2 linked regions of the Ovis aries genome follow. The protein of the gene in region 2 purifies or fractionates together with the protein of the main gene of each other region. This does not show direct contact. Links are inferred from orthologs where the notes say so. Each region holds a gene or a part of one and is shown on either strand. Other genes may lie near its edges. The genes, in order: SETD1A and BOD1L1.

The links.
Region 1: the proteins of BOD1L1 (region 2) and SETD1A purify together in Homo sapiens (affinity purification with mass spectrometry; 3 studies listed by BioGRID and IntAct, with this or other methods). This does not show direct contact. The link is inferred for Ovis aries from reciprocal best matches to the Homo sapiens genes BOD1L1 and SETD1A.

What each region holds. Positions count from the first base shown.
Region 1 is NC_056077.1:27,626,840-27,630,653, forward strand, and holds part of SETD1A (histone-lysine N-methyltransferase SETD1A), read left to right. Parts: intron 1-2,524; coding exon 2,525-3,580; intron 3,581-3,814. UniProt on the Homo sapiens protein: Histone methyltransferase that catalyzes methyl group transfer from S-adenosyl-L-methionine to the epsilon-amino group of 'Lys-4' of histone H3 (H3K4) via a non-processive mechanism.
Region 2 is NC_056059.1:109,456,774-109,460,587, reverse strand, and holds part of BOD1L1 (biorientation of chromosomes in cell division protein 1-like 1), read left to right. Parts: intron 1-774; coding exon 775-839; intron 840-1,892; coding exon 1,893-1,977; exon of another isoform or gene 1,978-3,814. UniProt on the Homo sapiens protein: Component of the fork protection machinery required to protect stalled/damaged replication forks from uncontrolled DNA2-dependent resection.

The sequences.
Region 1 (3,814 bases), on a different chromosome or scaffold from region 2:
TGGTATTTTCATAGATTATTAAAAGTTATTAACAAGAGAATGGCTGTAATTCCCTGTTGATATAACTTTGTTTTTCTATTTTATATGTATGTAATTGACACGTAACATTGTATTACTATTTTATTTTAGACAAAGAAGTTGCAGGGTGGAGAAGGTTAATACCTATTTATTTTAAAAACCTGCACAAATAATACATGAACTCTCACGTTAAAAAAATCAGAGAATACAGAAAAAAGCAAAAGCCCCACCCCATTTGGCACAACCCTACCACCCCCACCTGCCCCAGTCTTTGTCCCAGTGTCCTCCAGTGGGAACTTCCACCAGTCCTGAAGGTGCCCTTCCTGGCTTTGCAATGGCATACACATTTGTAAATGTACATTTAGAAAAGGTTTCTAAAGCCAAAACAGTGTAATTTCATTGACGTGAAGGAAAAGCCCAAATAAAGTACCACCTCAGCTTCTTGAGGGGGGACTTCCTGACCCCTTTCTCATTGGGTAAGACTCCAGTACAATTTTATAAAGCCTTTTAATACAAGATTCAGTTTCTTACATTGTATATATTTTAACCTCACAGAACAAAGAATATTGTTTGTAGTCAAAATAATGGATACTTTAATTCTGGGGAGATCTGGGCAGTTGCATCCTGGTTACAAAATGCAGCTGGCAAAAAAAGTTGTCTGATGTCTGTCTGATTGTTGGATGAGGTTCTGTCACTACCAGTCGTGGTTAAAGAAAAGAGAAAGACTGGAGTCCAAGTGCTGAGTTTCCTCAGAGTGCCACCCCTGCCCTTAGAGCGCCACCCCTGCCCCTGAGAGCGCCACCCCTGCCCCTGAGAGCGCCACCCCTGCCCCTGAGAGCGCCACCCCTGCCCCTCAGAGCGCCACCCCTGCCCCTGAGAGCGCCACCCCTGCCCCTCAGGGCCTGCGCTGCCCTGTGTTTCACATGATTGTTTCCTTGGACTAGAAGTTCCAGAAGGGCTTCAAAGGTGTTTTCCTCATACTTGACATGGTTAAAAGTGAAGTCGCTAGTCATGTCTTACCAGGTTCCTCCGTCCATGGGATTTTCCAGACAAGAATACTGGAGTGGGTTGTCATTTCCTTCTCCAGGGGATCCTCCTGACCCAGGGATTGAACCCGGGTGTCCCACATTGCAGGCAGATACTTTACCATCTGAGCCACCAGGGAAGCCCTCCCATAGTTCATTTCAGTTCAGTAGCTCAGTCGTGTCCAACTCTTTGTGACCCCATGGACTGCAGCACGCCAGGCCTCCCTATCCATCACCAACTCCTGGAGTTTACTCAAACTCATGTCCATTGAGTTGGTAATGCCATCCAACTATCTCATCCTCTATTGTCCCCTTCTCCTCCCACCTTCAATCTTTCCCAGCATCAGGGTCTTTTCCAATGAGTTGGTTTTTCACATCATGTGGCCAAAGTATTGGAGTTTCAGCTTCAGCATCAGTCCTTCCAATGAATATTCAGGACTGATTTTCTTTAGGATGGACTGGTTGCATCTCCTTGCAGTCCAAGAGACTCTCAAGAGTCTTCTCCACCACCACAGTTCAAAAGCATCAATTCTTCAGCACTCAGCTTTCTTTATAGTCCAACTTTCACATCCATACATGACCAGTGGAAAAACCATAGCTTTGACAAGACGGACTTTTGTTGGCAAAGTAATGTCTCTGCTTTTCAATATGCTATCTAGGTTGGTCATGACTTTTCTTCCAAGGAGCAAGCGTCTTTTAATGCAGTCACCACTGCAGTCACCATCTGCAGTGATTTTGGAGCCCAAAAAAATAAAGTCTGTAACTGTTTCCATTGCTTCCCCACCTATTTGCCATGAAGTGATGGGACCAGATGCCATGATCTTAGTTTTCTGAATGTTTTAAGCCAACTTTTCCACACTCTTTTACTTTCATCAAGAGGCTCTTCAGTTCTTCACTTTCTGCTATGAAGGTGGTGTCATCTGCATATCTGAGGTGACTGATATTTCTCCCAGCTGTCTTGATTCCAGCTTGTGCTTCCTCTAGCTCAGGATTTCTCATGATGTACTCTGCATATAAGATAAATAAGCAGGGTGACAATATACAGCCTTGACGTACTCCTTTCCTGATTTGGAACCAGTCTGTTGTTTCATGTCCAGTTCTAACTGTTGTTTCGTGACCTGTATGCAGATTTCTCAGGAGGCAAGTCAGGTGGTCTGGTATTCCCATCTCTAAGAGTTTTCCACAGTTTGTTGTGATCTACACAGTCAAAGGCTTTCCCATAGTTAGTGCTCAGGAAGTGTTTGCAGAAGGTATGAATGAGCAGATGCAAAATGCCACCCCATCAGGGGAACCCCTCCTAACGAGGACACGGCACGGGGGAGAGGCCAGTGTGTCAGGTGGAAGGTGAGGAGCAAGGGTGGCTGGGGTGTGGACTCCCAGGGGAGGCTGGCTGGTCGCCTGCCTCCAGCGAATTTCCATCATCATATCCATCTGATCGCGGAGAAGCTGACCCTCGCCCTTCTTTGTGCTTCTCTCTCCAGGTTCCACCGAGGAGCCGCCTCCCAGTGCGCCCCAGCCTCCCCCAGAGCCACCAGCTGGACCCCCGGCCCCCACCCCCCGCCCCGACGAGCGCCCTTCCTCTCCCATCCCTCTCCTGCCCCCACCCAAGAAACGCCGGAAAACCGTCTCCTTCTCTGCTGTGGAGGAGGCACCGGCCCCAGAGCCTCCCCCCGCCGCGCTGCCACAGGTCAAGTCTGCCGCCCCTGCCTACCGCAAAGCCCCCCGGGCTGTGGAGCGGACCATTCGCAACTTGCCCCTCGACCACGCCTCTCTGGTCAAGAGTTGGCCTGAGGAGGTGTCCCGAGGAGGCCGGAACCGGGCCGGAGGCCGGGGCCGCTCCGCTGAGGAAGAGGAGGCCGAACCCGCCACGGAAGTGGACCTGGCTGTGCTGGCTGACCTGGCCCTGACCCCAGCACGGCGTGGCCTGCCCGCCCTGCCCGCCGCCGACGACTCGGAGGCCGCGGAGACGCTCGACGAGGCGGAGCGCCCGGGCCCCCTGCTCAGCCACATCCTCCTGGAGCACAACTATGCCCTGGCCGTCAGGCCGCCGCCGCCGCCCCCGCAGCCACCCTCCACGCCTGCCCCTCGTCCCTTGGAACCCGTTCCGGCCCCCGCGGCCCTCTTCAGCTCCCCGGCGGACGAGGTCCTCGAGGCCCCAGAGGTGGTGGTGGCCGAGGTGGAGGAGCCAAAGCAGCTGCCACAGCAGCAGGAGGATGGGGAGGAGGAGGAAGAGGAAGAGGAGTCGGAGTCATCGGAGAGCAGCAGCAGTAGCAGCAGCGATGGCGAGGGCGCCACCCGGCGGCGCAGCCTCCGCTCGCACACGCGGCGCCGGCGGCCGCCCCCGCCCCCCCCCCCGCCGCCACCCCCCACCTTCGATCCCCGCAGCGAGTTTGAGCAGATGACCATCCTCTATGACATTTGGAACTCGGGCCTGGACTTGGAGGACATGAGCTACCTGCGGCTGACGTATGAGCGGCTTCTGCAGCAGACTAGTGGGGCCGACTGGCTGAACGACACCCACTGGGTCCAGCACACCAATATCCTGAGCCCCAGAGTCTGGCCTCAGGACAGGGAGACAGGCCTGGGGGTGGAGGTGGGGGCCCTCCCTGGGGTCGCTGGCCAGGCACTGCCCTCCTGCGATCATTCCTGGGTCTGTGTTTACCTCAGTCCCTGTCCTGTTCTCTGCCACGTTCAGCTTGGGTATTTCTTCTCTGGCTGCCAAGTCACCATTTCTCTCTGCTTCATGCCTGTTTTCTGCCTTTTGATGTTTT
Region 2 (3,814 bases):
GGGTTGAAATAAATGACTTAAAACTTTTCTGTTGACTTTAATTTAGGGTGAGTTGAATGCTCTGGAAGTTTCTATGACTCAGCCATTGCTACAGTCTGTTATTCCTTCTGCCTCCTGCCTCTCCTTCCCTTGAAGGAGCAGAAATAGAAGGACTTTTAGCAAGGAGTAAGCCCACAGCCTCCTGGAGAAAGGAAGGGTTTTCTTGGGAGGCGTCTGTGTGGGCAGGTGAGAGGAACAAGTCTCAGGACAGAGGAGAGAAGGAAAGGGATAGGTTTGAGTCTACCAGGGAAAATTCTGTTCCCTTTTTATCTGTTTCACAGTTTCTAACTTTGTGTTCAACTTTGCTGTGTCAGCACAAGCAAGTAAAGTGAATCTGTTCACAAATCACCATCTTCATTAAGAAAGTATCTCAGTGGCCTTGAATGTTTTCTTTTAGGGACAAGCTTGATATAGATATCTATAGAAAAATACTTGGACATAAGACGTCCTCGCAAATGATAGCATATCATTCTTTGTGGCCAGCCAGCATAACAGCCAGAAACATTTTTATACACATCCCATCCCCCCGAAATGAGTGAATGACCCCTTGCCTTTTATCTGAGAATTTTCGGATATATTCCCCTTTATTGTTTTCTACTGACAGCAAACTAAAACAGGACGGAGGAGGGCGTAGCATGTCCGGGTAACAACTAGACGACATTCTGTTACCTTTTGATTCAAGATGTAGTTTGCAAGCAAATTCTTAAACTGATTGAATGGTTTGCATTTCTTTAGGCAGCAAAGAGTCCCCATCAAATGCTGTGGGAAGATTGGGACTGAAAACCAACTTGAAACCTGAGGTATGGCTGATCATTCAGTTATGCTGAACTGCCAATGGTGTACATACCTTTTCACCATGTACAGATACATGTACACAAGCAGAATGCAGCCCCGGCTCTCACTGTACCGAAGCTATTTCAGTTCTGTTACTGACACGTCGTGTGAGGGAAGAGCTCAGAACCTCAGTAGTCTCAGCTGATAGCACCGTCATCAGTTCCATCCACTCAAACCAGAAAGCCAAGTGTCAGCGTCAGTCACCCCTCGTTTCATCTATTGCTGGTTCTCATAGTTTCCATTCCCAAAATGTGACTTGAATCCACCTATTTCTGTTTCTATGGCTGCCACCTAGTCTGAGCCTCTACCCCAGTAGGTAGTGTCCCCATTCTGCTTCCTCTCCAGCCCTTCCTCCAGTCTTCACCCAGCCCTGAGAGTTAGCTTGAAAAACATAAACTAGGTCATGTCATTGCTCTGCTTGAAATTTCCAATGACTTCTCATTGCATTTAGAATAAAATCTAGTTTGGGAGGAGGTTTTCTGGTTCTTCTGTCACAGCCTGTGTGCTTTAAACAGTTTAGTCTCCATGCCCCCTTCCAGCCTGATCTCCTGGCGCCTCCGAGTCCACGGGACAAGATAGTGGTAAATATGGGGGCTGTGAACGCAGTGCGGAGGAGCCTCGACTCACAGCAGGGTCAGTGGGTGGAAGGGGATGGCTTGCAGGAGGACTTTGGAGTGGACTTCTGCAAACAGTTCGAAGTGTACCCGAGGACACAGAAAGGGAAGAGCCAGTCATGAGTCCTGGGCACTGCAGTGTTTCAGGGATGAGCTGCGCTGAGACCTCAAGCCTCTTGAAGAAATGAGACCAGATCAGGAAGGGCTTATGTGTTGTACTCAGTATTTTACTTTAGCGCAGTAGGAGAGCCACTGATGGATGAAATACGAGATTAGTTTTACCTTTTTGTTCCTAAAGGTTGACAGGATGCTGAGTGTTTTGTTTAATTCCCTTCAGGTGAATTAAACTTACCTTCTTATTTCAAAAACCTCATTTACCTTGTTATGGTGCCTTGGACTTTTTAGGTATTTGTGCCATCAGAGGAAGAGAAAAATCATGAGATGCCAGCACCACCAGGAAGTTCAGGTGGGAGAAAGCTGAGTGGAACAGGTAAACTCCTTTAGCAGTTGTTCACATTTTTTTTTTCCTTATGTGTGGGTTTATCTTTTATTATCACTTAAAATTTATAGCTAATATGTAATAAAACATTGACAGGCTATATGGATTTACCTATCATTTTTTTAACATAGATTAGAGAAAACTCTTTGCTATTTCATTTTTAACTTACACTTTTTCTTCATAAAGCATTAACATCAGTCAAAATCACGTAAGGTTGTGTTTAAATCTGATGTCTCCAAATAATTGTGGCCAAACGAGCTGCTTTGGAACAGACCCTTGCTCTCGCCCACAAGTATGTCTCTATGGCCCTCCTTGTCCCTCCAGGTGCCATCACAAGCTCATTTCCAGAAGGCTAGTCTGCGCCTGTGTGCCCACTTCTTTTAACCTCAGGCTCTTGACCCCTGGGGTCTGGCCGTTGCTGCGTCACTGAAGCTCCTCCCCGCTTGCAGAGCCTCTTCTCAGTCTCTCTCTGCACCAGTCTTCAGTGTCCACTAAAGGTGTGAAGGGAAAGGTCTCAGCCTCAGACAGGGTTAGGACAGCAGCTCTCAAACACGTCGGTCTCAGGACCACTTTACACGTGACCTCATCTGAATCTGACCACCTGCCAGAGACCCTCACTACAGCGCCATCACGTTGGGGATTGCATTTTTAATAGATGGGGTGGGTGGCAGTATATTCATTGTGAAGGGGACACAAACATCCAGTCTGTAGCATTCAAAACACTGAAAAGTTCAGGCAAAGCATGATCCAGGAGCAGAGACCTCTTTCAAAGGCCCGATTTCTTACCTTCTCTCTTAATCCCCAGCAGAAGTAATCGCTTTCCCATTCTTGGCCTCTAGGAAGATACGTTGTGCTGTCATTCATGGCTGAAGCCCTGAGACTTGTGATTCAGTTTAGGTGCCTGAGTTACATTTTCAGAATTCTTTTTAAACTCAGCTGTATGTTGTGGGCGTCCTTCATTGTCAGCGTATGCAGACCGGCTTCCTTTGTTTCAATAGTGGTCTGCAACACACGGCCCCCGTGCTGTTGGGTCTCTGAGTGCCCTCCAGTGTTTGTAGTGTTTACTGTTACAAATAACGCTGCAGTGAGCTTCCATATGTCTATAATCATGTACTTCTCCAATTTTTTTTGAAAAAGTGAACCGAGAGGTCAAAGAACACACACATTTAAATTTTCATTTCAAGCACTTGCTATTCCCCCTAATTTGGAGACAAATATTGAAGAACAAGTAGGTGTGTATTTGGTGGACCAGACAAAGAAAGGCAGTGTGTGAGGAGTGGTGTGTATAAATCCTCAACCAGGGCTATCTGGGGCTGTCAGGGTGGGGACCTTCCAAGGCAAACCATCTGAAAGGGCAGCCTTCAAAGTACGTGACCACAGGAACCTTATAAGCAGAAATACCAGGGGTTCCTGGAAGACCACCCCAAGACCTGGTAAGCCACTCGTCCTGACATGTTAAAACCCTAACGATGACTAATCTTCCCAAAACTTGGATAGATGGTATTAGTTAAAATTCCTGTGTATGTATTATAGTATACATAATTAATATCCCATTTGTTAATTGTCAAGAAGGTAACATTTTTGGATTCTGAAGTTCTTTGTTCCCAGAGTTGTATTTCAGACTGTGTTTAGGTACAGTTCAATAAGAGATCTACTTACGTAAAAGGAAGTTGTTTAAAAGAAAAATGTGTGTTCTGTCATTGTTGAGTAGAAACAGTAGGCCTTGTACTTCAGGCTTCCAAAGAATATAAATAGACCTTTGCTGTTTGAGGGGATAGGCTCTAACTTTTCATTTGATGGGATTATTTTTAAATGAACCAGTGTTACC